3 linked regions of the Drosophila melanogaster genome follow. The protein of the gene in region 2 purifies or fractionates together with the protein of the main gene of each other region. This does not show direct contact. Each region holds a gene or a part of one and is shown on either strand. Other genes may lie near its edges. The genes, in order: bru3, coro and mRpL23.

The links.
Region 1: the proteins of coro (region 2) and bru3 purify together in Drosophila melanogaster (affinity purification with mass spectrometry, with the first as the bait; one large-scale study listed by BioGRID). This does not show direct contact.
Region 3: the proteins of coro (region 2) and mRpL23 purify together in Drosophila melanogaster (affinity purification with mass spectrometry, with the first as the bait; one large-scale study listed by BioGRID). This does not show direct contact.

Annotation. Positions count from the first base shown.
Region 1 is NT_037436.4:13,793,976-13,803,789, forward strand, and holds the start of bru3 (bruno 3), read right to left. Parts: upstream 4,553-9,814; 5' UTR 4,049-4,552; intron 1-4,048.
Region 2 is NT_033778.4:6,858,828-6,871,458, reverse strand, and holds coro (coronin), read left to right. Parts: upstream 1-3,663; 5' UTR 3,664-3,892; intron 3,893-3,934; exon of another isoform or gene 3,935-3,977; intron 3,978-4,318; exon of another isoform or gene 4,319-4,462; intron 4,463-4,517; 5' UTR 4,518-4,574; coding exon 4,575-4,772; intron 4,773-5,574; coding exon of another isoform or gene 5,575-5,592; intron 5,593-6,084; coding exon 6,085-6,351; intron 6,352-6,409; coding exon 6,410-6,823; intron 6,824-6,887; coding exon 6,888-7,181; intron 7,182-7,904; coding exon 7,905-8,111; intron 8,112-8,169; coding exon 8,170-8,397; 3' UTR 8,398-9,199; downstream 9,200-12,631.
Region 3 is NT_037436.4:2,370,809-2,378,936, forward strand, and holds mRpL23 (mitochondrial ribosomal protein L23), read right to left. Parts: upstream 2,897-8,128; 5' UTR 2,877-2,896; intron 2,871-2,876; exon of another isoform or gene 2,789-2,870; intron 2,694-2,788; exon of another isoform or gene 2,637-2,693; 5' UTR 2,615-2,636; coding exon 2,321-2,614; intron 2,260-2,320; coding exon 2,101-2,259; 3' UTR 2,036-2,100; downstream 1-2,035. Other genes in the region: CG1317 (uncharacterized protein), read right to left, coding at 1-854; CG8993 (uncharacterized protein), read left to right, coding at 1,474-1,655, 1,718-1,964; CG9004 (uncharacterized protein), read left to right, coding at 2,988-3,867, 3,921-5,605; CG15877 (uncharacterized protein), read right to left, coding at 5,736-6,412, 6,468-6,624.

The sequences.
Region 1 (9,814 bases), on a different chromosome or scaffold from region 2:
GAATCCTAGATGTTCTGCCAAGCAGCATGTGTATTATCAATGCCGATCCATTTCCTATTAACTTATTGATTTTTGCAAACATAACAATCCTGCAACTGACTTGTTGTTTATGATACAACTAGACATAGCCTTGTAGCTATATTTCTCCTAATCTACAGGACAATGAACGAATTTCGTCAAGCAACTAACTACCCATCGACTGTGCGCTATTTCCTCGAAAAAGCATTTTTTTTCTATTTGGTTTCACTTTTCGGTGAATGAAAACTGAACACCAAACTGTAGGCTGAATGTCTAAATTTTGCTTTGCTGTTGAGGGCCGCAACCTGATATAGTCCTCCTGCCTTCGCAACGAGCTTGTCGTAAGTGCTCGCGGGTTTTTGCATATTTTTGGGCAACTGCTCGCGCCGCGTCACTTTCCAAAACTGCTAACAAAGGGCAAAGGATGGGGCACGGAGGCAATGTGGAGCGGTTTCAGAAGCGAAGTGGCGTGTGTGGGCCACTTGACAGCCGTTTAAATGCATTAAAAAATTACCTACTCTAACATGAGCAATGGAAAAACGGGAGGTGGTGGCAAAAAAAAAAAAAAAAAACACAGGCAAACATGTCAGCCGCCCAATTTCACATGTGACAGAAGGGCGGAAGCGGGAGAAGCGTGAAGGGCTACGTGGATGTCACGCTCGACGGCAAAGTATGGAAAAATCAAATCCATTGCAATTGCCGTTCGATCTAAAGGGGTCAACATCAAGGAATGGATTTGTTCTGGGCAGGCGTGCACATTTTCAGAGACCTACCAAACAAGCTTCACTCAATCAGAAAGCAACTTCCTGATTTTGAAGGCCTCTATTGAAAACTCATTTCAAAACTTATTCACATCGTCTATGGAATAATATAAGCTTTGTGACGTATATATATTATAGATTAAGCCTTTATCTTAACATGTAAACGAAAGATTGGCGCCCAACGTTTTTTCTATTTGTTCTTTAAGAGCGTGCTGTACAGAACTTAATTTTTTAGGACCAAAACATTAGAGAACATCTAAAATAAAAGACTTAATAAATATTAAAAGTGGTATTTGTAAATGCGAGCATGTGAAATCATTATTTCTGAAGAGCTACAAATCCTTTTCTGATGAGTTCATCCTTTTTGTTAGGATATCAAAGAAAAACCACATATACCGGAGGAAACAACTCAGCGGAATACCCGGGCTGCAAATTACGGACCTGGGTGACTGACAGCGTCCGACTTTTTTTTTTTTTTTTTTGGTGGTCCTGTCCTGTTCCGGGTGCAAAAACGCATTACGCATTCACTTTGCTCAACACTTGTGTTCATTTCATGCAGCCTATGCCCATCCTCTCGCTTCGATCCCATTACCACTGCTCGCTTACCGCACTCTGGTCTGTGTACTTTTGTTCAAATATTCATTGCAAATTCCAATTTAATTTTCGCTTAAATTGGCAATACCAACAGCGAAATCTGCAGTTGATAGCGCCGCTGAAGTTTGTTTTCTTTAAAGGTATTTTCAGTTTTACCTGCGTGTTGGTGTATTTTTTTTAGTGCCGCTTTGCGCAGATTAACATATTTAATAGTAACTGAGAAAAGATATCATTAAATAGGAACGAGTTGTACAATAAGTATTTTGCATATTTTATTTCCACATCAGCATTATTATAATTTTATCTCGCCAATTTATCAACTGCACCATTTAAGCTACGAGTTGTGAAGCACTATAAATTAATTAGAGTTTGTGAAACAATTTTTGGCACACTGACTTATAATTGAAACTTTCCTACAAGTGCGGCAATTGCTAAATTTAAAGACGCAAAAGTAGAACCATAGAACGGAAAAAGTTGAGATAAAGGTTAGATAAAAAAAGCTTAAATAGGCTTAAATAGTTTTCTCAATTATAAAGTTTATACTTTCTTATTAAACTTCCTATCCCCTTGCTTGTTTATACAATTATTCTTAAAGGTAATTTCACCTAAGGCGACAGCCCATTAATACCAATTTTATATTAGTACATTTACGAGATTTGCTTTACCAGCTCAGTATGCACAATATAATAGTCTCATGCTGCGACATTCTTTGCTTTATTGCCTTAAGATTTATGTCATTGAATTGGCCTGATTGGGCCAACTGGGTATGAACCAACTTGGCATTCTTTCCAGTTTCAATAAATGGGCACATGCTGCGTATGAGCAATATTTCAATTACATTTTAAACGCTTACCAATAGATTTCATAATCTTTCTTTTACTATTCATAAGCTACTATTTGAAACTTTTCATTGAATAAGTTGTCAAAGGAGGACATGTTATAAACATTTCCTGTGAGAGAGACAGTGTGTTAGAATTGCCCTTCAAGGGGCCTGAAAAGGTCAAATGGCAACGTAAGTCAACGCCGCTTCCTTTCACTTCATTATTACTTTCTAATCCATACTTATTCTATTTCTAATTAAACAATTAATAATATAAATTTTTCAAACTATTATAAAAAAAGGAAAATAGTGAAATCTTATGTAAGGTTATTGCTGTTAAATTTTACCCATTGATGTTGCAAGCGATTGCAGTAATTTACTAACTTACTTCTGGGTGAAATGGAGAAATTATGGCTTATATAAATCGCATTGATAAATCTCTGGCCAGCACGTAATATGGAAATTAAAACACAACTCAAACAAAGAGCAGTCTAGAAACGGCAAAAACCATCTCACCCACATGCACATTTACTTGCGCGCCAAATGTTTCCTCACATGCAAAATGGACATGCAGCATTGTTTTAATTTTTTAGTAACTTAACAAAACGAAAACGCGTTTGGTATGTCCAGGGTTCGCAAATTACAGTGTCTACTTTTTGTGTTCTAAGTATAAAAACGGCAATTAAAAATTACTATTCCCTAAGCGAACATTTAAGATTAAATACTACTAGTAATATCAATTGGTCTTAAAATGAACTCGAAAATAGTGGAATATATTGAGAACATTGTAGGAAAATGTTTTCAGGCCCCAAAATGAAAGAAAATTGTCAAATGCAAGACTTGTCTCCAAATCAAGCCCTAGATGCCAGACATTTGTGGTCGGCCAGCTAGGTTTCTTTAGCAGTCACAGGAAAATCTGGTCTATTACGTTTGTGACCCAACATTTTTGCAGCCTCATGGCATGGGAAATGGAAAATTGTTACTGAAAATCGCAGACTCCTCCAGACCCAGGCATCCGTTTGCAAATGTTTCAAGTTTAAAATGAGCGTGTAATTAGAAATGTAAAGAGGGTAATGAGGAGGGCAGCCCAGGGTAAACGGAAAGTGGAGTCGAGTCAGCTGCCGAGCAAAAGTCACTGCTGCGTCTCGTCCCCAGGAAATGTACCACGCAAACGAAGAAAATGGCGAATAAAATTGAAATAAAGTGGTGCAAATGCAAAAACGTGCACACACCCGTACAGCTCACCTCGCCGCAAAAGTGCAGCAAGCACCACCTCAAACCGTTGGAAGGAGGTTGAAGTTTCTGCTCCCAACAATGAGTAGCATAAAAAGTTATGTATAAAAATCTTTCGCTATTTTTTGCTTGCACTTCCGTTACAAGGCGAACCGAATTTGCATGTGACATTTGTGGTTGGGTTTTTGTTGATGGATGAGGGTCGACAGATATCTTTGAATCAGCAAAGTTGGCTGATAAAGCCATGAACGACGTTGTGTACGTGTGTTTAAATTAGAAAAAACTGTGATATATTTACCAAGGGAAATGCAATGGTATCTTAATTACAATTTTTGATATGTTTTGATAATAGTTAGAGGATATTAAAAGATCGCTGCATGAAAGATTAAGGAGTCTTTTGTGCGATGAATTAAACTATAATAATACTGTGCAAATTTACTGAGATAGTCGTTTGATTAATGTGGGCTAAAAAAATAAAAAGAGAAACGGACATATATCAAAATATAACACTATGAATATGTAAAGCATCTTCTTATTCTATGAAACTTTTGACTAAAATCATTTTAATAATTTATATTTTCAAAAATAATTGTTTATCAAAAGTGTTTATTTTTTTACTTACCACTTTGTAACGCCCAATTAAGCTGTAAGCGCTTTAATAGCCAAACATTCGAAAACACGACGAAAAGTATTTGTTGTTTTATTTGCTGTATAATTCAATTTGTTTTCACGGTTAGCATATGTAATATTTACTCTGCATATTTATTCAATAATAAATATAAATTTGTATTTCATAATTTTTTTTTTTTTTTCACCTAACAGTGTTTGCTGGTATTTAATGATCTGGCGCACCTCCTGGTCTACACGGTTTTATTACACATTGCATTAGGCACTACATTAATTCCTGATGTTTTTGTTGTATTTTTTAATTTCGCTTACGCTGTTTGCAGAATTAATTTATAAAATATTTAAAGAACGACGCGCCGCAAGCTTTTATTTTTGGTTATTTCTGTTTGTGTTGTTTTTTTTCCCATGAATTATTGATGGCGTTTGTTTTGTATTTTGTTATTCATTTATTACTTTTGATAATATTTTTTGCAGACGCTGTAAAACATAAATGCACAGTGATGTTTAAAGAGGGGGTGTAGGGGGGCGTGTTACAAATCCATATGAGGGCGCGTAACGGCGTGGCGATAATAAACATGCACAAACACAATAAATTTTACATTATAAACAGCAAGAGCAACAAAATGTACAATTAGCAACAGCGAAAGCATAAATTTCGGTTAAGAGTTTAAACGCGAAACAGCAAAATCTCGTATACGCCATGTGAACGCGTGATAATTATGGCTTTTGGGCACGCAGTATAGGCCACAGAAGATATCTTGAAATTGTTGTGTATATTTTTTACATCACTTTCCCGACATCCTGCAAAATGAGCGCTGAAAGCGAAATGTTTTCCAGCAAGGACATGGACGCGAGGTGGCAAGGTCTGTCAATAGCTAAAGTTGGCTGACGAAGCCAAAAACAAAACACTGGCTGCGAAGAAGCCAAGCGCAGCCTTTTGGCAGCTGGAAAAACACATATATGTACACGTCTTTGTGGGCGCAGTCTGGGCTAGTAAAAGGCAAGCGCGGAGCAAAAGGACTCTGGCTGTAGCGACAAAAAAGGAAATCAAGCCAAAAGCTGAGAAAAAAGCGCAAGCGGATGATGAGACCTGACTGGCCCAGAAGAAAATGAAGAGAGAAAAGCGGCGAAAATCCAGAGCCAAGTGATACAAAAAGGATACTCCTCACCCATTTAATGGCGAAGTGTTCATTTCGGGGAAAAGTACATCATCCTTTCTAGGTGAATACTATGAGTAACAGTCATTTATCGGTGCGGTGTTTATTAAGGATACTTGGGCTGTATATCTAGCTTGCGGAGAAAAGCGAGATCTAGGTGACAAGAAAAGGATACTTCTTAGCTATTAGAGAGATGTTTCTTAGTATATGGATACTATGATTCCTTGTTATTTATTAATAAGATTAATATTACACAATAATTAGCGGAAAAGAACGAAAAAGAGGCCAAGAATAAATACATTTCTTGCTGGATACTATTCTCATGTGCCTTGAGCAACTGACGCGGACAATGACGTGACAATGAACAATTATGGGTCAGTTATTGGCCATCTTTGTCCATTGTCATTCTCTTCATTTCTTGAAAGATCCCCTTTTAATGTGATTTATTGATTGGAGGTCAAACTTTATACGTCCCACTACCTCGGGGCATATATGTATATGCCATAAAAAAAAGGCAGAGAAAACGTATTTGTCATGCCTTCCACTCTGTTATCTTTCTATCTTCTTTGGCCCTTATTCTTTTGCCTGTTTAGCCATTTTCCATGATGACTTGGCTTGTGTACGCCCGACTAGGTTTTTGCTATTTACACACGCCTACATGGCAGGGGTCCCCTTCTCAGCCTTCAGAGGCCATAATATCTTTGCCCCGCCAGAATGGCTGCGTCGTCTGTTTTATAATTTTCACAGACGTCGCCCCCATCACAAGCCCCCCTCCCCACCATCTTTCAAGTGCCCTGGGTTGACACTCGCACATTCAAACACTTCATAAAAAAAGCCGCGCTTGTGCCCATTATTTATGTATATTTTCACCTACATTTATTTTATTTATGGAAGGCAAAACGAATGGAGACAGTGAAACTAAAAAGGAACGCTGTGAGTTAAGATGAGCCAAAAAGCCTAAGGGAGAAACATCGAAAACACCAGATGAGAATGGAAGAGGATATCTTTAACACAAAAAAGGAAGGACTTTGCCGGCATAAAAAACAGGCGCTATTAATCAGAAGCTCAATTTAAAGGCAAATTTAAAAAGCTGCGAAATACTAGCGTTTATACGTTTTTTTTTTTTCAATATTTAAAAAATTTTTACACTATTTTTTGTGTGCAAATAAATCGGTTAAAATAAATCATATTAATTTAATTATAACAAATAAATCGAAAGAACTGCGCAAATAGAGAAAGAGAAACTAGTTTTAATTGTATCCACTTAAATCAGCCAGTAAAGCTATCGTTGCTGAATTTATCAATTAAATATTTTTTCTGCTCTTGTGAACCCAACGCCAAGAACCCAATAAACATTAAGTTTGTATGTTTGCTTGTGTCATAATAAGCATATTTAATAGAAGCTGTGCCTCCACTGCCGCGCAGCCATGATGCATTTGCATATATGTCGGGGCATAAATATATAGAACGCAATTTATATATGCATCTAGTTAAAGTTTTTCCTCTTTTTGGTTATGGCAGCGGGCGGAGAAGGGTGTTGACTTGACAGGCGTCGGGGGAGGAGGTAGAGGTGGTGGAGGGGCTGAGTGCAGAGGGCACGTTCGGATGAAGCCTGCACTTGTCACGCCTTGTCTTCTTCTCATTCACCATGTCTATGTGTGCGCGTGTATGTGTGTGGGTGTATGGGTGTATATGTGTGTGTGTGTGGCGTTATTTGCATGGGGGCGTGCGTGTGTGTGCGGTTTGGCCTCGTTGAGAATGCAAAACAAAAACACAAAAATGAGCAAGCGAGATAAATAAAAAGGACAACAGTGGAAAAAAAGGACGAGACTTAGAAGGCAATGCCCGTGGCTTTCTGGGTCTGCCCATAAGTGTCTGTGTTTGTGGATGTTTACTTCTGTGTATGGATTTGACGACATTTGCTATATTGTAAGGACCAAAACAAGCTTAGATCACACTACTGTGGAACGATTTAAACAGAGAGAATCCTCTCAAAGGCCCTGGCAATTCTGGCACCATTAAGTTTTGTAAGTCAGCTTAAATGCTTCTTTACAATTCGTCTTGTTCCTTACATGTGGGTACAATTTTGGTATTTTTAAAGTTTTCGTCTTTAGTCAACTACAATACTATTTTTGCCAATTTTCTATTTCTCGCCAAAATAACGTTATAGATTTTTACAGCTACTCACTTAAATGCCACAAAAAGGGGAAAAAATTATTTTTAATAATCGTCACAAATCTTTTCATCCGTGCGCTTCTGCCATCAAAGTTAGTAAAAGTCAGCGGAACTCGAGGAGTTTTAAAGTACTCATAAAAAGAGAGTTCAGAGCTGAGGAACTTGAACTGGGTATTGTAACAAAATAAAGCGTAGAAAATAAAGGTTGGAAATAATCAATAATGAAATGAAGGAGTTTGCCGAAACTTTGGCAATAAGTGGTTTTGGGCTTGGCTTCCCTCGGGCAGACTCCGTAGGTTTTGCTTAATTTTGATGCCTTACTTAAATACCAGGCAAAAGTTGGTATAGCAACAGATGCAGCTTGCGATTAAGCTGAACTTTTTGTGAATATTTCTGTCGCTTAAATATTACATTAGTCTGCCTAAGCCCGCCACTCCTTCTTAACCACAACGGGGTAATGAACTCAATGCGCGAGAGGCAGTCAGGCTCTGGAACCACAAGCTTAAGGGGGCAAACTAATGTATATTAAGAAAATACGTTTGCTATTATACGAATTTTTAGTACACTTTCTGCTAGACTCAAGTCAAATAATACACTCTTCTAGTTATCTTTTATCACAGGGTAAATTAATTTGAAGGCGCAATTTCCATTCCGAAGGTCAGTTCAAATTACTTTTCATTTTAGCATATCCTTAATAATCCTTATTCCATCAGCTTGGTTAGGGTATAAATAACAGGCCGCCGCCTGTAGCGATTGGCTGCACAAATGGAGCGTTTCAAGCCGGCAGCTGCAGCTGCTGTATCGAAAAACAAGCCCCTTTGCACGTGTACGTGGCTCTGTGTTCTGTGGGTGTCAACAATTGCACAGCTGGGCACACATAGCACACTCAGACACACACACACACACACATATACGGCCACAGAAACTAAGATGCTGGCCAAGGAAGCTGCGCAAGTGGAAGAAATAATGGCTGTAGCGCCTGGGAGAATCAGCAGCAGTTGCCTCACTCACACATATTTAACTTATTGTGAGTCCATGGGTGGACAACTTTAAAAGGTTCAGTGTGGACAGGCAGAAAGGACCTCGGAAGTAGACAGGACCATAGGTCAGTGTATAAAATGTGATCAACATTTTTATGGGACGCCAACTCTTAACTTCAATTCAAGCACACTGTGCGTATGAGTAATGTCTGTTTAACAGGTGGGAGTTCGATTGGAAAAGTAATAGCCTGCAATGCTTGGAAAGTGTTTCGCTGAACATAGTAAAACTATTTTAACGTTTTGTGTCTGCTTAAATTGTCTGAATTTATAGCGGTCAATTTGAGCAGACATATAAGCCGCGCCAAATTGCTTAGTTAGCTAAATAAAAGAAAACTAAATCTCTTTAAGGATGGCAGTATAGAGTGGATGGCTTTGGCAACTTGATTTATATGACTATGCTTCACAAATGTATCCACTAACAATAAAAATCGTATAAAGTTTTAATGTAATTTAAACGTGCGGCACAGCAAACTAAGAAGTAGCAGGACAACACAGTCAAGACAAAACTGAAAACATGAAATAACTTTAATTTCAAATTATTGTTCTGGACGAAGATGGCATTCAAAGCAGACACGCTATCAATTTGAAATATGTTTTAAAAAGCTTTTCCAAATCAGCATTATTAAAATGAGTTGGTAATTAATTGCATTTTCCGAAATACTTTTGCTTTCCACCAACGAGATGTTGTCGAATTTTTGAAGCACAACTTTCACTGGAATCACAAACACTGGGGCCGAAGGGTGGTGGCTTTTGGAGGGGCTTTAATTCTCTTTGACGCTCGTCAAAGTTACGGGCCAAAATGTATCAACACCCGACTCGTCGGTTGGATGGCCAAAACAAGCGGTGCAGGATCTGGACCGAAAGAGGAGAAAGATGACGCCGACGATGACGAGGGCGATGGCGATGACGATGACGAAAACTCGTAGCACAAACACGGAGGAGGCGACAACAAGGACGACGCGGTGGGTGAACGACGATAAATGTTTACAAAGCGGCTACTGCCACACAACTGAAGCGACAGGATGCAATAGCTGGCAATGCCAGGCGGCTGCGGAACGAATGGAAATGGAGCAGTCAAAACACGACTTCGGCTTTTCCGAAGGACTCTTTTTGGGATGGCCGACAGTGGTGGTCGTTGTGTGGGTGGGGTTTTTGGATTGGGTGGTGGTGGGGTTTTTGTTTTTGCTTCGGGAAAGTGAATTCGCCGGTCGAAGTTTGGGTTGCCTGACTGCCTTTTTTTCTTTAATTTTGGGGTTGGTCATGGGGATTTCGCTTTAACGGGCTAACTAACCTACCGCAAAAAAACTGACTCTAGAACTTGTAAACATAAAGATAAGAAAATAGCCAAATGAATTATTCAAACTTGCACGAATGTAGTCAGGCCTGACT
Region 2 (12,631 bases):
ACACACACATACACATTCGAGTCCAAACGCCGATCGCGTTTATGCGTCAGCCAATGTCGCGATTACTCGGCGAACAACAGCTGTTCGACGATCGCAAAACAGGCGCACGTATGAACGCCAGTTAGACTGGCAATGGACACGCCAATTGGCGGCAATACCTCCGAAAAGAACTAGGAAGCACGTAATTTTGGGAAGCCACTGCTTGAATACCCTTTTGGATAGAAGGAACATCTGAAGTTGGAGTTTTACAGTCCACCCACTAATATTAAATTAAGAAATTATCATCATCATAGACTTGGAACCGAAAAATATAGATCGCTAATAATGCTTAAGAAAGCCCAAAACCTTAATTTAGAATTTAATCTACAAAACCTACATAGGGTGATTTATCTATTATTTCTAAGCCATATCTGGATAAATTAACTTTTACTTGACTACACCTAGAATAAAATTAACCTTGATTTTAGGAAACCGTCATTGATTCAAAATATCTCCACCCATTTAAGCATCAGTGTACATTAGTTACGGATTTTTCTTTTTCTTGTAATGGCAACATACATATAAAGAAAAAAAATTTTCTTGAAAGCTTTTCTAAAACCATTGATTTAACTTTTCTAAAATGAATATTACATGGATATCTCTAGACGTAAGAAAAGTCTTCTTTGTTCAATTGCTCGTCTTTATAGCGTTTGAGAATAAAAGGTGATTTTCTAAAATCCCGGGATAATTTTTTCTCAGTGCTTCACGTTTCACATTAATCAGGTAGACATCGTTTTACCTGGAATACGCGTTCAGGGCTATAGTTAGGCATCGAATGTGTAATTCTTAAAAGGGAAAGGTACTTTTATTCGCCCATTCGGTCTCAAAAAAATCCATGTACTTTGAATTTCTAGGGTGCACAGGCATTCACAATTGCCGCCCGGTCTGACTAAGCGCAAATGGAAAAATAGAAACAAACGGATGGCGGTCACAGTGGGGGGAGCTGGGGAGAAAAAGAACGAGCGGCAATTAAGACAGCAACAAAAGCCAGCGCCACTTGTGATGGCGAGGGGACGTGATGGGTGTCGGGTGGGGCACTGCATATGCATGGGGTTAATTTTAGCAGCAGAGTTCCACTTTCACTCGTACAGCGACGACACCCACTGTGCTGCAAGCCAGTGAGTCTGCCGCGACACTTGCGCGCTTTTTGTCAAAAACTTTGGCTAATCGCCGTCAGGCACGCACACTCTGCAATCAGTTTGATGAACCTTCAACACACACACGCCTGTGTGTGTATGTGCATGTATATGAGCTGCACAACCAATGACGTTGCGCCTGCATCAATGACATCATCATCATCATCATCGCCATCAACCTCACCATCCAGTCGAGATGAGGCGAACGGCGAAAGTTTCCAGTGCAGCCGACAGCCGATAAACAGCGGGCCCCTTATCAGGGGTGACTCATGCATGTGGCATTGATCATTGGCCAGCTGATTAGGTGTCGCTGCAGCTGTGCACAGGAAGAAAAGATACCACGAGTTAATCAAAACCAAGCCGCGCAACGCAAACATATATGTATACAATGTATGATGCCGTATTGATAACACCTGACTGAGCTACAACTGGTCTGATATCTTCACGTATCAAGACAAAGTTTTAATCCATAATTATATAGTATTAATTTTGTTTTAAACCACCTGCCTCTATGTAATTGTGGTGACACGTTAAAGGGAAGCACTTGAGTTTACAAAACTCCATATCCAATAACTCTACACATGAGTTAAGCGGAGTATGTTTAATACATATTTATTAATAACAGTTTTGTCTATACAAGAATGGTTTTGTGCCCTATGCTTTAGGAAAAGTTTGAACTATCAGTTGTAGCTACTTTAATCCGGAAACCATGATGGCATGTGGTCCTACACATTTAATAGATTCTTTTTCGAGTGTACTTGGGGAATAGAGATGTCATTATAACGGAAGTGGCCGGTGAACACAACGTGTCGACAAAGCGGCAAGATTTGCAATCAAGCATTAAGTCAATTCTCGGCCAGTCCCCGATCGCTGGACCATCGCATTCGCATCAATTCAGCGACGGTTGCATCTCTCGCGATTTCAACACAAATTGCTGGAGGGCCCCACAACAGCCCCATTGTCAAATGGTTAACGCGATTACAAGACAGTCGCTGCTGAAAGTTGGTTGACACCCGCTGGTTAAGTGGCGTGCGGATTAGTTGGTTACTTTTCAATAATGATTCAGCAACAGCCTGTTTCTAATTCTGGCAGAGACGCCTCCTAGAACCAAAATCTGACTCAGGACCTTTTTCAAGACCTTTTTCAAACGGAATTCTATTAATTCTAATTATACTATCAAAATCATTATGTTATTTAACCCCATTTCATTGTTATTAAGGTATACATACCTTTCATTTATAGAGAAGTTTATTCTGATTCGTCGAAAACGTTGCAACGATTCCGACCCTATGAAGAATATATTCCTGATCAGAATCGCAGGTTATAGGTAATTTCCGAATGTACTCAAGCGAGTTTTTAGAAGAAAAGAAAAACACTGTTGAACAATTTGAGAAACTAGTGACGCTCGCACCTTTGACATCTATTGTGAATAAATATAATACTAGACTTAAACACAATAACTAGGTAGATTGTGGACTTCCATCTAATGTGAGTTTTGAAGATCCGGTACTAATTTGAACCTTTGACTTAATTTCCTTTCGAATATCTTCAGAAACAGCCTTACATTTGGGGCCCACTGTAAAGAATGGAATGCAATGTGATGCTGGGTATTCAATCACACCACCCGGGTAATGGGCGTCGGGAATGAGTTCTTCAAAGATTTTCATTTCTTCAGCGATTTTCTTGAACCCACACTTCCGTTAATCGCTGAGTGGTCCGCTGATAAAACCACCGACGGTCAAGTTGATTAAGCGCAGAAGAGGCCACTTTTTTGGCCATTGCGAGCGGAATTGCGAATGCAATTATGATCGATCGGGGAAGTGGGAGTGGATGGGGGTGGCTCGACTATGATAACTCAGGCATGGCAGGTGCCAGCGATGCCAACGAAATAAATAAACACATCAAATGCGATTTACAACGCTGCTTTGAGCATCGTGCACTGTGTTTGTATATGAAAATTTCATTTCGCCTAAGATGATTTAATTTTCTATTAATAAGTTTGACCTTCAGCCGCGAAACAAAAATTTTCCCGCCTGCAAACGAAGGTGTTTGGCATATAAACACATAAATAACAACGCATACACACGCCGCAGATATATATATATATATATAGATAGATATATTCCGGGTACAGTGCTTAGGAGTATTTTCCAGTTGGTGGCAAACATTTCGGCGTCGTTTTGGACTACATAGGCGTAGCACTTAACATTATCTCTGTGGTGTTTAGCCAACTCCGAGCTGATATTTCCTTATCAGTGGAGAGGCCATGTCGATACCCACACCCACCCAAGAACAAAGCCCTCCGGGGCTCACCTTGTGGCCAAAAACAGACAGCGTAGAAAGTAATCAATTCTGGGGTCTGCTTTGGGGCCAGTTTAAAGGGGTCAATGACAAAGTTTAGTGCTTGCAATAAATATGAATATCTTTGAGCAAAACAAAACGAAGCAACGAGGCAAAAGAGGCAAATAATTTTATGGCACTTCTCTGATTAAAAACGAAAGCTGTTCGGAGTGGAAGCCTGCCGGGCTCGGCCCAACCCAGAAATGAATTCTGCTTCAAACACGTAGCTATCTAGAAGTCTCCCGGAGTGTTAGGTATATGTTTGGGCTTAGGTTGGCCTGCGGGATCGGTTTGCTCAGCCATAACTTACGTGTTGGAAGGCTACTCATTGCTGGAGTGGCTATTTTGGCGTTATGATGTCATCCTGAAAGAAAGGGGTATGGAAAACTGATAGTTCGACACGTTCCGGCTGGCGCTTCATTAACGAAAGTGGACCCGAATGTGGCAGTTGCCAAGTGGCAGGTGAAAGCGTTCTAGGCGCCTCCCGCCGTTTCCGGCGCTTTCAGTCGCCAACATTAGTGATGCCATAAGCAATTTGATGCAACCTCTCGCGGACAAAGTCAGCGCGTCAATAGCAAGCTGCGAATGGAAAGCTCATTGATTTTCGCAACAAGCGAAATTAGCATATGCAAATTTATTGAACTAATCGAGGCTGCGAAGCGCGGTGAAAGAAAAACGCGTTAAGCTAACACATAAGTGAGCGAAGCTGAAAGCGAATAACATTGCTATTCGGTCGGTTTATGCGTCGCTCAGAACTCGGATAAGGCTAAGATCACGATTTTCAGGTTTCACAGAACTGTGTAGAAAACAAAACCTATCAAATGAGTGTTCAAATCTCTGCCAAAAAGTAGGGGTTTCATATCTCATTCAGGTGCGGAAAGAATACGGCTAAACGATTTCGCTTGAAGACTTGTTATTAAGGGCAAAGGGTGGAAAATACCAAACGCGTAAGAAATTCCCCTACATTGCTAACTATCCTTCGTACGTCTCATTTCTTTTCAGAGCTAGACGTAGAGAAGCTCAGGACTGATCGCTGACCCAAGCCACTGCAGCATCAAGATGTCATTTCGCGTAGTGCGCAGCTCCAAGTTCCGCCACGTCTACGGACAGGCTCTCAAGCGGGAGCAGTGCTACGACAACATACGGGTATCCAAGTCCAGCTGGGACTCCACATTCTGCGCGGTGAATCCCAAGTTCCTGGCCATTATCGTAGAGTCGGCGGGCGGCGGAGCCTTCATCGTCCTGCCACACAACAAAGTGAGTGCGCCACCGGACCTATTATAGTTGCACTCGTCTACGTGCGTCTGCCCCGACGCGGCCAGCTTGGTGGGGTATTTTTAAACAAGACAATGGGCAACTATTTATAGCGCCCTTTTGGCATAAAGTTTGCGGCCATTTGCGGGCTTGTTGCCACGTCGCGAGTGACGTCGACGGATTTCGCATGACTCCACCCAATCTCACATGTGTTTATAAATAGTTATAGATTCTGCTACTACCGCGGCAGCGATACTGCTAGCTGGCGCACTTTTGTAATTTGGCCACTAGCCAACATGACAAACAAATCGTCTAATTTTAGAGAGAGGCAGAGGAGCAGCCAGTTAAATGAATACAAAAATGATATTCGGGCGAATCATTGCATCGAAATGCACACTCAGCTCGGCGACTTATTCCGCTAAAAACTAATTGTTTGTATTCCACTAAATTGCATTTTCAATCTCAAAATCTTTTGGCCGTCCTGCCCCAGATTCAGCTATTCGGGCTTCTGTTTAGTTGTAGTTTTGCGCGCAGCTCCAGCAAATAGTGTGGGCAGCAGAAGCACCCATTCCCCTAATCTTCCGATGCTCCTCTTTTGATGAAAACATATATGGAAGTACACCGATGGTCGTTCCATTTGAAACAAAAATTTGTATGCAAAACGCGCGGCAAGCGATCGTTTTTTTCACTCTAAGCAGTTGCCGCTTTTTTAAGTGATGATTTCTATGTGGAGCGGCTTTCACACGCCCTATTTTACTTATTTTATGGGCACTGGATGATGAGTGAGATCCATCTAGTCGCCAAGGTTGGCCGCATGTGGCAAGTGTAGGCAAGAACAAGCACAAGTTCTTGAAAAAACCAAAATAGATTTACACTCATGGAACTCATTCGAGAAACTTTTTGGAATGATACATTTTAATACATTTATTGAAAGCGATGAACAAAGAATATTATCTAATAATATATAACAATGTTAAATTTGAAATAGTTTACCATTACTATTTGTTATAATATGCTTCGAAATATATAGATTTCGATGGGAGCTATTCGGCATTCCAATTTTCTATAATTCTAGGGCCATATTCGGAAGCAATTGGCATGAAGTTTACAATTATAAATTGCCTGCTTGGCAGATTAGCGAACATAGCAGAACCGAGTGCAGTCGGAGTCGGCTATAAATAATAATTCAGGAATTGGGCTAATGGGTCGCGAGGTTGCAGTTTTGCAATGGTTGCTGCTCATGACTTAGTCGCCATCAATTATAAAAATTTACTGTGGCGTATCGAGCTAATTGAAATTTAATGGACTCTTTCAGGTTGGTCGCATTGCGGCTGACCACCCTTTGGTGGGCGGTCACAAGGGTCCTGTGCTGGACATCGCCTGGTGCCCCCACAACGACAACGTGATCGCCTCCGGCTCAGAGGACTGTGTGGTCAAAGTGTGGCAGATCCCCGATGGCGGGCTGTCGCGAACACTCACCGAACCCGTGGTCGACCTGGTTTTCCACCAGCGTCGCGTGGGTCTGGTGTTGTGGCATCCCTCTGCGCTCAACGTGCTGCTTACCGCCGGCTCCGATAACCAGGTGAGCGAATGCTAACACTTCTTCAGAAGCCCATGCTTATACTCTCTGTATTGCGAAGGTCGTGATTTGGAACGTGGGCACTGGTGAAATCCTCGTGCACATCGACTCCCATCCGGACATCGTTTACAGCGCCTGCTTCAACTGGGATGGCTCTAAGTTGGTTACCACCTGCAAGGATAAAAAGATCCGCATCTACGATCCGCGCACTGCCGAGCTGGAGAGCGAAGCCATGTGTCATGAGGGCTCCAAGGCCACGAGGGCCATTTTCCTACGTCACGGTCTGATCTTCACCACAGGCTTCAACCGTAGCTCGGAGCGTCAGTACTCCCTGCGCGCACCGGATGCCCTTAACGAACCCATTGTCATGGTGGAGCTGGACACGTCCAACGGCGTAATGTTCCCTCTTTACGACGCAGACACGAACATGATCTACTTGTGTGGAAAAGGTGACTCGGTCATTCGGTATTTCGAGGTTAGTACAAGTAAATCTACAATATTACATATGAATATTATCTAACCAAAATCTCATCGAACAGGTAACGCCCGAACCTCCTTTTGTGCACTACATAAACACGTTTCAGACTACAGAGCCGCAGCGTGGTATTGGTCTGATGCCCAAGCGAGGCTGTGATGTGACCACCTGCGAGGTCGCCAAGTTCTATCGCATGAACAACAACGGTCTGTGTCAGGTCATCTCGATGACTGTGCCGCGCAAATCGGATCTTTTCCAGGAGGATCTCTACCCCGATACGCTAGCGGAAGACGCTGCCATCACCGCGGAGGAGTGGATCGATGGCAAGGATGCGGATCCGATCACATTTTCGCTCAAAGTAAGTGGCTAAGGTGCAGAAGCAGCTCAGACTTTTATTCCGTGTTGCGAATACAGCGCTCGCCGCCGAATGCGGCAACGGTTCGGCCACACTGCCAACCATTCCGCCGGCGATAAGAGCGTACAAGATATAGGATATATATCAGCATGTGCGCCAGCGGGGCTTGTCCACAGATGGCAATGCGGCTCGAAGTCGATGAGGCAGTCGCTGCCACTGTGGACGCCCCTTCTACAATGTATTCCAACGGCTTTTGCAGTTGCTTTTGTCTGCTAGCACAAGGACTCCAAGTGAGCTACTTGTGAGTTCCGTTTAAAGCTTACTCCCAGCATTTGCCGGTGGCTACCTACCAGCGTGTGATGCCTGCGCTTGCTTTACTTACGTTTTTTCTGCGTTATCTACGTTTGTGCCTTGTCCGCCCAGCCACATTCCACTCCAATACACAGACTACAGTCCTCGTTCTCCGTTGTACAATGTCACTTGAGACGAGGCATCTTAAGAATGTTTTAGTGACGACCGGAATAAAGAGTATTCACAATGATCTAAAATGGTTTAGTATTCTAAATGTTAGCTAACTTATTAAAGTCTCCTATTGGATACAGTAACACGCCGCATAAATGCACACTTGGCCCTAACACGCACGCGAATGCGCGTGGCGCTTGTCGTTGTGTTCATTGTTGTTTGTTGTGTTCTGAAACGAACAGATTTTCTTACCCGCCTAATCAGGATCGCGTTTCCATTGTACAGGGTGGCTACGTGTCCTCGTCGGTAAACAAATCGCTACCAGCGAAGAAGGCGGGCAACATCCTGAACAAGCCTAGAGGCGACAGCGCTAGCTCCGGTGCAACGAGCAGCAGCGCGGGCGGCGGCAACTTTGCGTCCGGAAATAACAATGAGGCTAGCGAAGGTGGACCGCCTGCAGCGGTTTTATCGGTGAGTACTTGCACTCCTTCAGCGGTTGTATGATTAACTTATTGGTTCACTTCAAAAGGAAAAGGACCTGCGCACCATACAAGACGAGATCCGCAAACTTAAGGCGATCATCGTCAAGCAAGAGAACCGCATCCGCGCTCTGGAGGCCAAGGAGGACGCCCGCAACAAGAATGGAAGCGATGCTGCGCCGGCTTCAGCGGGAGCAGCCACGTCTGACGGCAAAGCCAGTGAAAGTGCCAACGACCACGCGTCCACATCAGCCGGAACGTCAAAGGACGAGGACTAGGTCTAGCAATGAAACGAGGACTGAACTGATAAAAATGGGCGGAATGGATTGGAGGAGAGACAGAGAACTGCTTGTAGAAGCTCGTAGCTACGCTTAATTTCTCTATTGCAACAAAGCGCGCTGAGGACGAATTGAAAAAGAACTTATTGTCTATTACCATTATGGTTTCGATTATTTATTTTTTATAATTTAATATTAGCGAAATCAGTTGAGTGCGGGTGTGGCACAGATAGGGTTAGAGAATGCCGAGCTAAATCATCTAATCGAACTTAAGCGAGCATAACCGAGCAGACCTGGACGCTTAACGTATAAAACATAACATAAAACTACATCCTGCCAAAAATATATAAAAAACCTAACGAACTACCTACATTTTGCGCCCAAAATCAAGCAGAGCGAAGGGCAGGTACTCGGCCCTTTGATCGGCTTGTTGTTACGCAAGTATGAAATTGTTGTAAATTTAACAAAGGCAAATCATAGACTAAACCTCAATCACTTAAGAGTTAACACCTACCTACCAAATTTGTACGAGCTCCTTTCTGTAACGTCTGTATATTTGTACGTCCCGGAAGTTTTCATGACAATAGCTGATAGAATCGATACTGTTCATCCTAGCTGAGGCCCCCTTAATCAGTCACATTTCCCTGCAAATTGTCGTGTCAAACATAGCGAATTTAGTAAGAAAGTGATGGGGGTCATCGGACTTAATTCGTTTTCGTAATCAAAATTTTATTGTTCAAACTAATGATAAGCTGTATTTTGAAATAATAAGAGTAACAATAAATGCAACAAAATCAGAAAGAAAGTAAGAAACCATCGAAACTATTTTTATAAAAATTTGTTTACTTTTCTTTTCTTTCATTTGATTTTACTTTCATTAGTTTTGTTAGAGAACCGAGGGCGAGAGCAGCGTCATTAAACACCTACCGATTTTGTAATTCACAACCATTGTAAAATGAAGACTATATACATATACATACATAAATACTCTATATACAAATAATTTACAATTTGATACGGAATAAAACAAAATACAATGCCAGAAGAAGTTGGGTGCTAATAATGGAGGTGTTTCGTATCTAATTCTTTTCGTAATGTGTGTTCTTTTAGCAGCATTTTCAAATATGTAGATGTTAGTCGACAATGGAATTTTTACCAGCTGCACTTTAAACTAATTGACAACTTTTAATTGCAGAAATAAGCTCATCCATGCGTTATTCATTGCCGAGCCTATGTGTTCGGTTCAATTGAATATGCAAATTCGTTTAATTTTGCCTAAACAGCTTTTGAGCATACTGCCGATGTGTTGTGTGTAATTATTACCTCAGCGAGCAAACCAAAAAAATGCAATTACAATTTACGTGTACAACGATTCTGACATTTTAATTAAACTTGGCCAAGTGCGCTTTTGTGGGTGGCGCGTGGCAATTATGATATAGTGTGTTGCCGACCAAGTTGTTGATTTAATTAAAATTATGTTTGTTATGCAATTTGACTCACTGCAAGTTTCAGCGATTATCGGTTGCAGTCGGTAGCTGTGGGCCATCTTGGTTAGCCAACAGTAAAGGCCATCTAGCTGCTCTAGAGCAACCAGACGTGGACTTGATATTCGGAGTTCAACATTAAATACTATCAATTATATTAAGTAAGTTCGATCAAATTATTAACTGAGTCATAGATGCATTTGTTAACTTTGAACTAAGATTTCGTTTTTCAGACTGTCAATAAATTTCAGCCGGCGTCGAGATGTACGAGTATTTCAGTTAGTAATTAATCGTAACAAACTTTCAGTACTGGCTTAAAGTATTCCATTTGGTAATGAGGTCTTGAAAAAAGTTAACAGTCGGTTTCGGATTAGGGTAATGGAATTTGTAAAGCAATGATAGCTAAATGTGTAGGTTGTTTTATTTTTAGCGCTTTACTTGTTTAAAGACCCAATGCACAGTTTCCTCCAACCCTTCTCCAACTGTTCATAAAAAAATTATATGCAAAGGTGAAGGGTTCTTCCCTAAATAAATGTTCTATTCTACGTGGCTTTTGCACGATGTGATTAGAAATGTGATCTGGCCGTCAAATGGATGAATTAAAATGGCCATTTAAGAAGTCATTTGTCAAGTGATGTATCCATTCTTGAAATTGCTTGGTAACTTGTTTAACATTTGGCTTTCCTACCAATTTAAAAGTAACCTTCAAAAAACCAGCTGGACATCACCTAACTTTATGAATTTCCAAGGACAATTCATTACACTATATGCACTTACTGCAGCATTAGTTGTCAGTACTGTGATTATCCTTGGTAGTAACTTGGGTAGTACATTTATGCAAAAATTACATTGATTGTGCATTCTTCAGTAATCCAGACAGATTGGACCAAAGCCGCTATCAAATCAAGTTATAATCATGACTTTTGATGGGCCAGTAGATTATGATGCCCGGCGGCAGTAAAGGCCAAGCCTAATTTATGTCTACTTCCGCATCCAGGTAAGTTTACGGCCTTCTATTAACATTAACGCTCTACGATTGTCGAAACCGATGGAAGGCATTTGTTAATTAAAAGCAAGCAGCAAATGTGCCAGGAGCAGAAGGACGTGGGAACACGTGCTAAATAAATACTCCTTGCTAAAGTTGCTAAGTACCAGCAGAGGTATCGCCTCTCCAGGACCTCAAAAGGACCCCCACCGAACCCCCTTGACGGCGGCTCTGTCGTAAATTCACGCGGCCCGTGGCTTTGTTTGTGTTTGCTTGCGTGCTCCTCGTCCTGTTAATGCATAAAGAAGTATACGCGCGCACAAAAGGAGCCGTCAAAACATTACTTTCTCGTGTCGGCGGCTCGTGTTTGGGTATTTGTTTATTTTCGCATGAAAATAAATGCGTATAATGGCGGAAGTTTATGCCTCGTAAAGAGAAGTTAATTAGCTTTCTGGAGTATAAAATTTGTTACGCACTCTGCCCTTGATCAACCAACCACATCCCATCATACCGCCGCCGTACGTTCTCAATAGCAAATTGAAAATTTTCCAATAACACATCCAAATATATGCCCACAGAAAGTTGGCCAACTTTCTTCACCCTTGACTACTATTGCTGCACGAGTGCAGTGGGAAAAATATTGAAGCTACGTGTTTGGTTATTGGTAAAGCAAAGTAAAGTATCGTTCCTCAACAATTATAGTAGACTTTGGCGACTTTGCGGCGCATTTCGTTACTAAGTTAACTACAGTCCACGGTTCATTCAAAATGTACAATACATGCCCATGGATGATTTGCACGAGGCAAATGACGGTATAGGTTCTATAATGCTCTATTCTCAGATTACCATAATATTCACATAACTTCAGGTCCGTTGTCGCCAAATTTTTGTGTCAGTGCAGCTGCTGATCCCTTTGCTGCTGCGGGACAGTTGATGTGTTAACTTCGTGGCTGGTCGTCCCTTCAGGTGAGTCTTAAAGTCAAACTGGCGACGTGTTTGCATCTGTGCCGCACAGGCAAATATTTACGGCATGCTTGCTGGGAGGATGGGCCATAGTTTCCGGCGCAGACAAAAAGTTGTGTTGAGGGACAGCCGACATAGGAGGACGAAAGTTTCGCAAAGGCCCACGCAACCCAGGAACATGAAAATAGTTTTTCTTCAGCCACATTTATGAAATGTGCACCGCAGGGTTAGTTTGAACGAGTGTCTGTGTGTAGAATAACTTTCACTTTGTCGAGTGGGTAGCGGGGTGGGGGTAATGGGAAAGAGCTGGGACTAAGCGGCTTAAAACTTGCACTAGGATGCCCAAAAGTGTCGGGCCAGCAACTCTCGCAGGACAGGAGACAACTGCCAACTGCCATTTTTGGCAAATATTTGCACAGATAATGAAAGTGCGCCCCATCCTGGAACATCCTGGATCGACTGAGAGCGTGTGTGTGTGTGATAGTTGGCAGTTGGACAATGTGTTGAATTCAGTTTGCCGCCTCTTTTGGGTTTCGATTTTGTTGACAATTCACTTTGCAGCGGTAATTGACCCTAATGCTGTTGCTGCCGATTCCGCTCGGCTTTCGCCTTTAAATCGATATCACTTTTGGCAGCTAAATTCAATTTGGCAAAGGAATCGCACACACACACTCCCCGAGATGGATATTGCACGTGCCTAAATACATTGCAAAAATGTCAAAAAGCACGTTTCAGTATTTTGTGATTTCGCCTTTGCATGTCATGTGTCCCAAAACAAAACTTTGAACTCCGGAGCTGCTTC
Region 3 (8,128 bases), on a different chromosome or scaffold from region 2:
GAGATGATCCAGAAGACGTGCTCCAGAAAAACTAGCGAGCCATCGAGTCCGAGCAGGCGTTCCCAGGTAAGCTCCTCGGCAGCCCGATCCCACTCCATGGGATTCCAATTCTGCTCATCGGCATCGGCGTCCACGACGGGAGCTGCAGCCGCTGGTGCGGCATCCTGGGCCTGGGCATCCTGCCCATCGTTGTCCGCTGGAGCCGGCGCTTCATTGTCGTCGGCATTGTTGTTGTCGTCCTGAGGCTGTGGAGCTGCCTCGGCGGCGGGATCAGGCGCAGGATTAGCAGCCGCTGCCTGTAGAGGGGCATCGTCCCGCTCCAGCCAATCGGGTCCGCCGCCATGCAGGATCTGCTCGCGCAGCCAGACCAATCCTATGAAGGACAAAAGTGTGCATGTGACCACAAAACAGCCCCGAAAGGCATCCGATGCCAGGTTTTCAACGGAGAAGATGTCAAAGGGCAGCGTGAGAATCATATCGAAGGAGCTCGCCCGGAAGAGGTACCGATAGGTCCTGTAGGCAGACAGCGGCACCACTCCGAACCAGGCCAAACCGACCAGGGTGTAATGAAGCCAGCAGCGAGCGCCCTCCAAAACGGCGGACATCAGTCCCACAAGGACATCCTTTATCGGCAGGACTCGCGGCATATCCGGAGCATAGATGGGCTGAAAGCTGAAGCTGTAGCTGCACAGCTCGCAGTATTCCTTGTGCGAGTAGCGCATCCATAACATCAGGCAGTCCTGATGAATGTACTTGATCGATCCAGTGCAGATGCACGGGTAGAAAAGAGGCCTATCCGGCTGTGCCTCGCATCTGCACACGCGGCAAATGTCGCCCTGCGACAGGTCGTCCATACTGATAACTTTTTCCCGGATCCTGGGTCTTCAGTTTGACTGAATTACTAAAGTTCCACTGGTCATTTGCGAAATTCGCTGGACAATTTCCGTAATTGACCCGAGGGTACGGGGGTTTTAAGACGATTATACCCGCCTTTTATGTGCGCCAATTAACCTTTCGATGATTACGGACCGTAATGCGATTGTAACACTTGAATTTTAACCGAAAAGTTGGGATATTATTACGACAAAACAAAACAAGACTACTTCTCAAAAAAAGGAGAGCCAATGTGTGCACACCATGAAATTGCTGATTATTTTCTCAACGGAGATGCCAACTAGTTCGATAGATTGAGAGAACGAAATATCGTTATTCATTTTTTAATCATAAATTGAAAATTAAAAAAGATTACATAGTTATGGTTAATAAATATAAGTTTTTAACTTAAATAATATAAAACAAAATTATCATGACCGGGAAGTAACAGTTAATGAAACAGTGTGTGCACACATCATTAGGCAATACCAATCCATCTGGCAACCCCACCACACTCATTGTTGTTGTTCTGATTCTCTTGTCATTATTTTGCAATCAATCGCTGAACTTTTTGCACTGAGAAATTGTAGAAAATAAGCCATGCAGCGACAGATTATTAACATTCTGGGACAGACGACGCGTCGCCTGGCTAGCGGCCAGCAAATTCGCATGCTGTCAGTTTCTGCGCCGCGACAGGAGATCTTCAAAGTCCAGAGCGCCGAGGACTTTGACAAGAAAGTAAAGAACAGCCAGCAGCCCGTGATTGTGGACTTCTTCGCAACGTAATTTTTATATTTTCAATTTGAGGACATGGCAAATTAATGTTTATATTGTAATCCACCAGCTGGTGCAATCCCTGCAAGCTGCTAACCCCGCGCATCGAGAGTATTGTGGGCGAACAGGCCGGTTCCATCAAGCTGGCCAAGGTGGACATAGATGAGCACAGCGAACTGGCTCTGGACTACGATGTGGCCGCCGTGCCCGTGCTAGTGGTGCTGCAGAACGGCAAGGAGGTGCAGCGCATGGTGGGACTCCAGGACGAGGACAAAATCCGGGCCTGGGTTGCCGCCGCCGTCAAACAGGCCAAGTAATAATTGAGAAATCCCAAAAAAAAAGTGGAGGTTGACCTCCTCGCAAATAAAGCTGAGCTTTAGGTTAATTCGGACTTTCGAAATAAATGTTTATTTACCCGTTGAAACGAAAAGTACTACGATTACACACTAAAAACTAAATGGAAAACCAGCCCGGCGTGCCGGGTCGCTTCTTGTTCCTGTCCAGAAATCTGCGGAAACCGGCTTTCGATTCATCCAGCGACTTTTCCTCCTTGGCCTGCTTCTCAGCCTTTTCGGAAAAGAAGTCGGGGAAGACAAAGGACTCCTCCCTGGGCTGGAATACACAAATATCATTGGAAATATCCATTGAATCAGGGGCTTGTAGTGGGCCATACCAATGTTACATAAGCCAGCTTCACGTCGTCTTTTTTGGTGATGTAGCCGTAGGTCTGATCCTTCTTGGTCTCGCCCATGGCAATCCGAGTACGCACATCCACCACCGGCAGCTTGTAGATCTTCTCCAGATAGTTACGCACATCGTACTTGGTCATTTCCATGGACACCGAAAAAGTGACCACATTGGGTGGCTGTTCCTCCGTGGGTCGGATTAGCTTCATCCAGAAGTTGGGAAGGAAAACGCGAAGCTGCGGATTGCCGCGCTGATAGATGGGATACCACCTCGTGGACATGATCTAGCCAGGATCTAAGATTCTAATTCAAGAATACAAAAATTAAATTAATTGTTGTGCGTTTATGAAATGCACTAAAAAAGGCCAAAGGTTTCGGGCGGACACAGGCGTAGCAAGGGGGTCGCATAAGATTGTTAACTAAAACTTAACGTATATATTAATTTAAGTTATTACGCTGTAACTATAAAATATTCCACACTTTTACCACTTTTAAAAAATAATATCACTAAATCTAGATTCCTCTCAAAGAACTGTTACCTACACCCGTGTAAAAGCACGTGGGTTGTCCAACACTTGTTTTAAACAGCTGATTGTCAACCACAACAATTTTTAAATTCGGTCCGGCTGAAATCTCTGGTAAAGGCCGTTTAAAATGGCAAAAATAAAGAAAAAGGAGGCGAAAGCTAAACCTTTGACTCGCAAGGAGCAGAGAAAACAGAAGTCGGAGTTCAAAAAACAGAATAAACGACTTTATTTCGCCGGCAAAACTAACGGAACACAGCGCGTGGCGGCGGCGGCAGAGGCGTTGGCAGCGCAGTCGCAGCTGGGCAAAAACAAGAAGAAGAAACGGAGCAAGAAGCCCAAAATAATAAATCCAGATGAAATACCCAAGGAGCAACTTTTGTCCGGTGAAATAGACAGCGACGATGACGAGTCCATAGATTCGGATTTCAGCGATGCGGAGGTGGATGCTCTGCTGCCCGCAAGGGAAAAGATGGAAGTCTATGAACCTCTGGGAAAAAAGGTCAAGAAAACGACAGGAGGCGCCATCCAAAGACAGGATGAAGAGGCGGTCAGGCGGAAGGAACTGCGCCAGCAAAAGGAACTGGAGAGCAAGTCCAAGAAGCAGCGAATCAAGCAACTTCGCATAGAGAACGAGGAGGATGATCGCGAGATCAACAAGCTGGAAAAGAAGCTGAAGCTCAACAAATCCAAGGACAAAAACCGCTTGGTGCGGAAGATGTTCAATGATGGCCTGGACTACCTGCTTGACTTTGTCCTGGATGACGAGGAGGAGAAGCGGAAGTGGGAGGAGAAGCAGGAACGTAAGAAAAAGCTGAAGGAGCAGCAAGAAAAGGAGGAGGCGGGAATGTGGAGCGATGAGGAAGAGGATAAGGAGGACAGGGATGAGCCCATGGATAACTTCTCAGAAGATGACAGTGGCTCTGAGGGTGAAGATGATGATGAAGACCTAACTGGAGAGGAAGAACAAAGCGAGGAGGATTCGGAGCAGGAAGAGAATGCACCTAAGAGTGAGTACATTCATCGTTTAGAGTTTTTCATTTAATTAACGAATTAATTACAGTTAAAGAGGACATCTACGGACGCAAACGCGACGCCGAGGGAAACATCCTGCCTGATCCCGTGGAGCTCGAGGCCTCAGCCGCCGGTCAAAAGTACATACCGCCACATCAGCGAGCTTTGATGGCAGCCAGCGCGGGATCAAGTGAAAAACAGGCAGAGATACTAGCTCGCCTTCTAAAGCAATGCAAGGGTCTGCTCAATCGTTTGTCAGAAGCGAATCTGCACAAGATTGCCGCCGGCATCGAGGAGCTGTACATGAAAAACTCCCGCTACAACATGAACGAAACACTAACCAAGTTAATTCAAGAAGCCCTTCTCGGCTACACGCGAACCAACGAGCGAATGGTACAGGAACACATGGTGCTGCTGGCCTACCTACATGCCCAGGTTGGCAGCGAGATTGGAGCGCATTTCCTGCAGACTTTTGTGGAGTTATTCGATGGTTATGTCAAGAACATCGCTACCCTGGAGGTGGAGGATAAGCAGCTGAATAACCTAGTACTGGTGCTCTGCTACATGTACCTCTTCAAGATCTACGAGCTGAATTTGCTGATGGAGCTCATAGGCAAATTGTCAGATCAGCTTTGCGAGAAGAGCGTGGAGTGCCTTTTGCTGATCTTCCAGTCCATTGGCTTCCGGCTGCGCAAGGACGATCCACTGGCCTTTAAGACCATGATGCAAAAAGTTCAATCGCAAATTGCTAGTGCCCCACTGGAACTGAAAGAGAATCCACGCCTGCGTTTCATGGTCGATATTCTAAATGCAGTCAAAAACAACAATATGCAAAAGCTGCCGCAGTATGATCCCGAGTTGGCGGAGAATCTGCGAAAGCGTTTGAAGGCCATGCTGAAGAATGATCGCTACGTGGTGACTCTGAACATAACCCTGGAGGACCTCCTGCGTGCTGATAAAGTGGGCAAATGGTGGATTGTGGGCTCTGCCTGGACGGGAAATCTGGATGAGATGGGATCCGCCAAGCAAAAGCAGGATAAGAACTCATCGAAGTCTGCCAACGGAGGTTTTGCGGATCAGCTACTGGAGCTGGCCAGAAAGCAGCAGATGAACACAGCCGAAAGGAGGAATATCTTCTGCATCATCATGAGCGCCGCCGATTATGTGGACGCCTTTGAGAAGATTCTGCATTTGTCTCTGAAGGACCAGCGAGCGGTGGCCTACGTGATCATCCATTGCGCTCTGAATGAGAAGCGTGCTAACCCCTATTACGCTCATTTGGCACTTAAGTTCTGTCAATTCAACAGAAAGTATCAACTGGCTTTCCAGTTTGCCAGTTGGGACAGAATCAATGATATCGAAAAGCTTTCCAAGCCGCAGATTCGCAACCTGGCTAGTTTTCTGCAGCAAGTAATCCTAGCTGCTGGTCTGCAGCTGTCAGTGCTCAAAGTAGTCGACTTTATGCAGCTGGACAAGCTCAGCTTTTACTTTATGAAGGAAGTGATGGTCAGGCTGCTTTTGGCTAACGATGAACGCGAGATTTATCAGACGTTCGAAAGAGTTGCCAAAAACACCAAACTGCAGCAGTTTAAGCAAAGCGTAAGGCTCTTCCTGCAGCATTTTCTTTTGCAAGAGGAACAGCTGGACAAACTTAAGCTGAAGGACGAGGATCGACAGCTTCTGCAGCAGCGCGTTGATCACATAGACAAACTTTTAGCCTATGTGGACCTGTAGTTATAAGTTGTAAATTTGTAAAATATTCATAATGAGGATGCTATAAAACAAATAAAGGACAAGTTTTTGTAAAATAGGAAGGCATGTGTAATTTATTCCTAAGGCAAAAATTAACAACTAACATAATAAACTAGTCGAAGCTTTGGAGGAGATCGCGTGCCCGCCGGTACTGCGTGGACTCGATTAGCTTTCGCCTTTCCGCCTCGTCCTCCAGCTTTTCGCCCTCCTTGTCCAGTTTCTGGATCACCTCCTCGGCCAACTGACTGATCTTTGAGCGCGCTGCTCCCTGGGAACTGGCCAAATACTCCAGAGCAGTTGGCCACAGCTCGTCATCCAGTTTCTCCACATCAAAGGCGGTTTGTTGTATGGAAATCTGTCGCAGTTTGTTGAACTTCCAATCCTGGCGGGATTCCTTCCATTTTAGAAGATATTCCTTGTTGACTTTGGCATCTTTGTTGGAGCTCTGACTCTTTTGGGCCTCGAGGCGCTGCTGGTGCTTCTGTTTCTTCTTTTGGCGCACTGTAACCACTGCATAAGCGTTCTCCGGACGAGCTGCTTCTTTTAGTTGCGCTGCTGTGGGCTGGGAGTCCACATCGTCGTCTTCATCCGAGTTATTTTCCTGCGTTTTGCTGCGTTTCAGCTTTTTGGTTTCGTTGGCATCCTGGACTTGTTTTCTCTTCTGAGGCTTCTGAGGAAGACTTTCATCGCTTCCACTGGTGGCCACCTGCTCCTCCGCTTGGTTTTTCCTGCTTTGTTTCTTAGTGGCCGATACTTCTGATTCTTTATGCCGCCTCTTGGCGGGTTTATCTGTAAATGTTGGACATGTTACACAAAGCCGATATAGATTTGAGCTGAAACACACCTGTTGGAACCTCCTGTTGATCTACCTGTGGAGCTAGAATTAGACTTTTGTTGGCCACCTCGTCGTCGCTGGCCGCATGCTCAGGGTTCTTAGTCACCTCGTGCTTGCGTTTTTTGCCCTGGCGCTTGACCTTTTTCTCCAGTTCAGTGCGGGCCATTTTAGAAGCGTGTCGTTTAAAAATTAACTTTGTACACCAAGGTTATTCAAAAGAAAATTTAAAAAACTTCTTTAGTTACAAACAAAATGTGTTTCTGTCTGGCGTTGCCAAGCTGGGCCTGAATACCGCTGTTAGCCAACACTGAAAAGTGGGCTGCTTTCGCAGTCTGGCACCAGACTCACCATATGACTAACCACAATCAATCTGGCAACGGCGCCAAACAAATGCCAAATCTTAGCTTTCGTTTAACAATAAATAATCAAAACAAAATAAGCAAGCTATAAATCATAAAAAGTGCATTTCGCGTGTGTATGGGCAGCGCCTATGCCATCCCACCGTCTCTTTTTAAACGAAATCGCGCCAAAATCAACGAAATACGTGTCGTCCTAAAGGCGCGTAAATAAAACCGGTGTGATAGTTGTGATTAATTAATGTAAGAGTGATTAAGTAGTTAACTAAGCTTTGATTAAGGTATAGAGCGGTATTAGCCATATTACAGGTAAGTCTATTGCGAATTTGTACATATACCATTTTCAATCCGCGGCGGCAACAACAAATCCAGCCGGCAAAATGCAACTGTTTACTTGCGCGTGTGTTTGTGTTTTCGGCAGTGCGTGCGCGTATGTGTGTGTCACCGGCAAATAAATATGAAAATTCCTGTTTATCGGTTTTAAAACGACGAGGAAATATCCAAATGTAAATTTAAAAGCAAGGAAAGGCGACATATTGATGAAAGCAAAGGCGGGTGTCCTGCAACAGCTGTTGTTTGCTTGGTGGAGTGGTCGCAAGGTCCTGCGTTCCGGCTGCATTTTTCAAGGTACGTACAAGTGTGGGTGTAAGTCGCCATCAAAACTTACCGTTATAAGTTAAGCAATTACACGTTTTACCGCATTAACTTTGATTTGCGAGGGCGGATTATCATGTTTTCAAATATACATTCCAAAAGAAATTAATTGTTAATGAATGCTTGTCGAACAAAAAATATCTTTAGGTGGGCAGAACTGAATCCATGAAGAAGTTATAGTTGAAATTAAAAATTTTCTATAAAACACATATGTCGAATTTTTCTAAAATATATATCCCGGAAATATTTCTTTCAAAAATTCCTCGCCAATTGGGATTTTCCTTTTAACCGCTGAACGCCGGCGCGCCTTCCACACAAAAATCATTGTAAACAAATTGCAACGTCGAAATGTTCACACATAATTTCTTCATTATGCTTTGGCTCTTTGAGTGGTTTTCCGGCATGGGCTAAAATAGCATTTTCCGACTTTTCCTCAGTTTTCCGCCCATGTCGAGTGAGAGAAAAGCTCTCACTCAGGGATCGCCTCAGAATTTGTTGGCCATTGGATTCCTCCGCTGGCCATTCAGTTCTGCTTTGGTTGTGTTCCCGGTCGCATCGCGTTTTCCCTCGCGTTTTCCGCTTTTCCGTCGCGGTCTTCGGTGGCTTTCCACGCGTTTCTATCCCAAGTTCTAAGCAAATCTCTTTCGGATCCGAATCGAA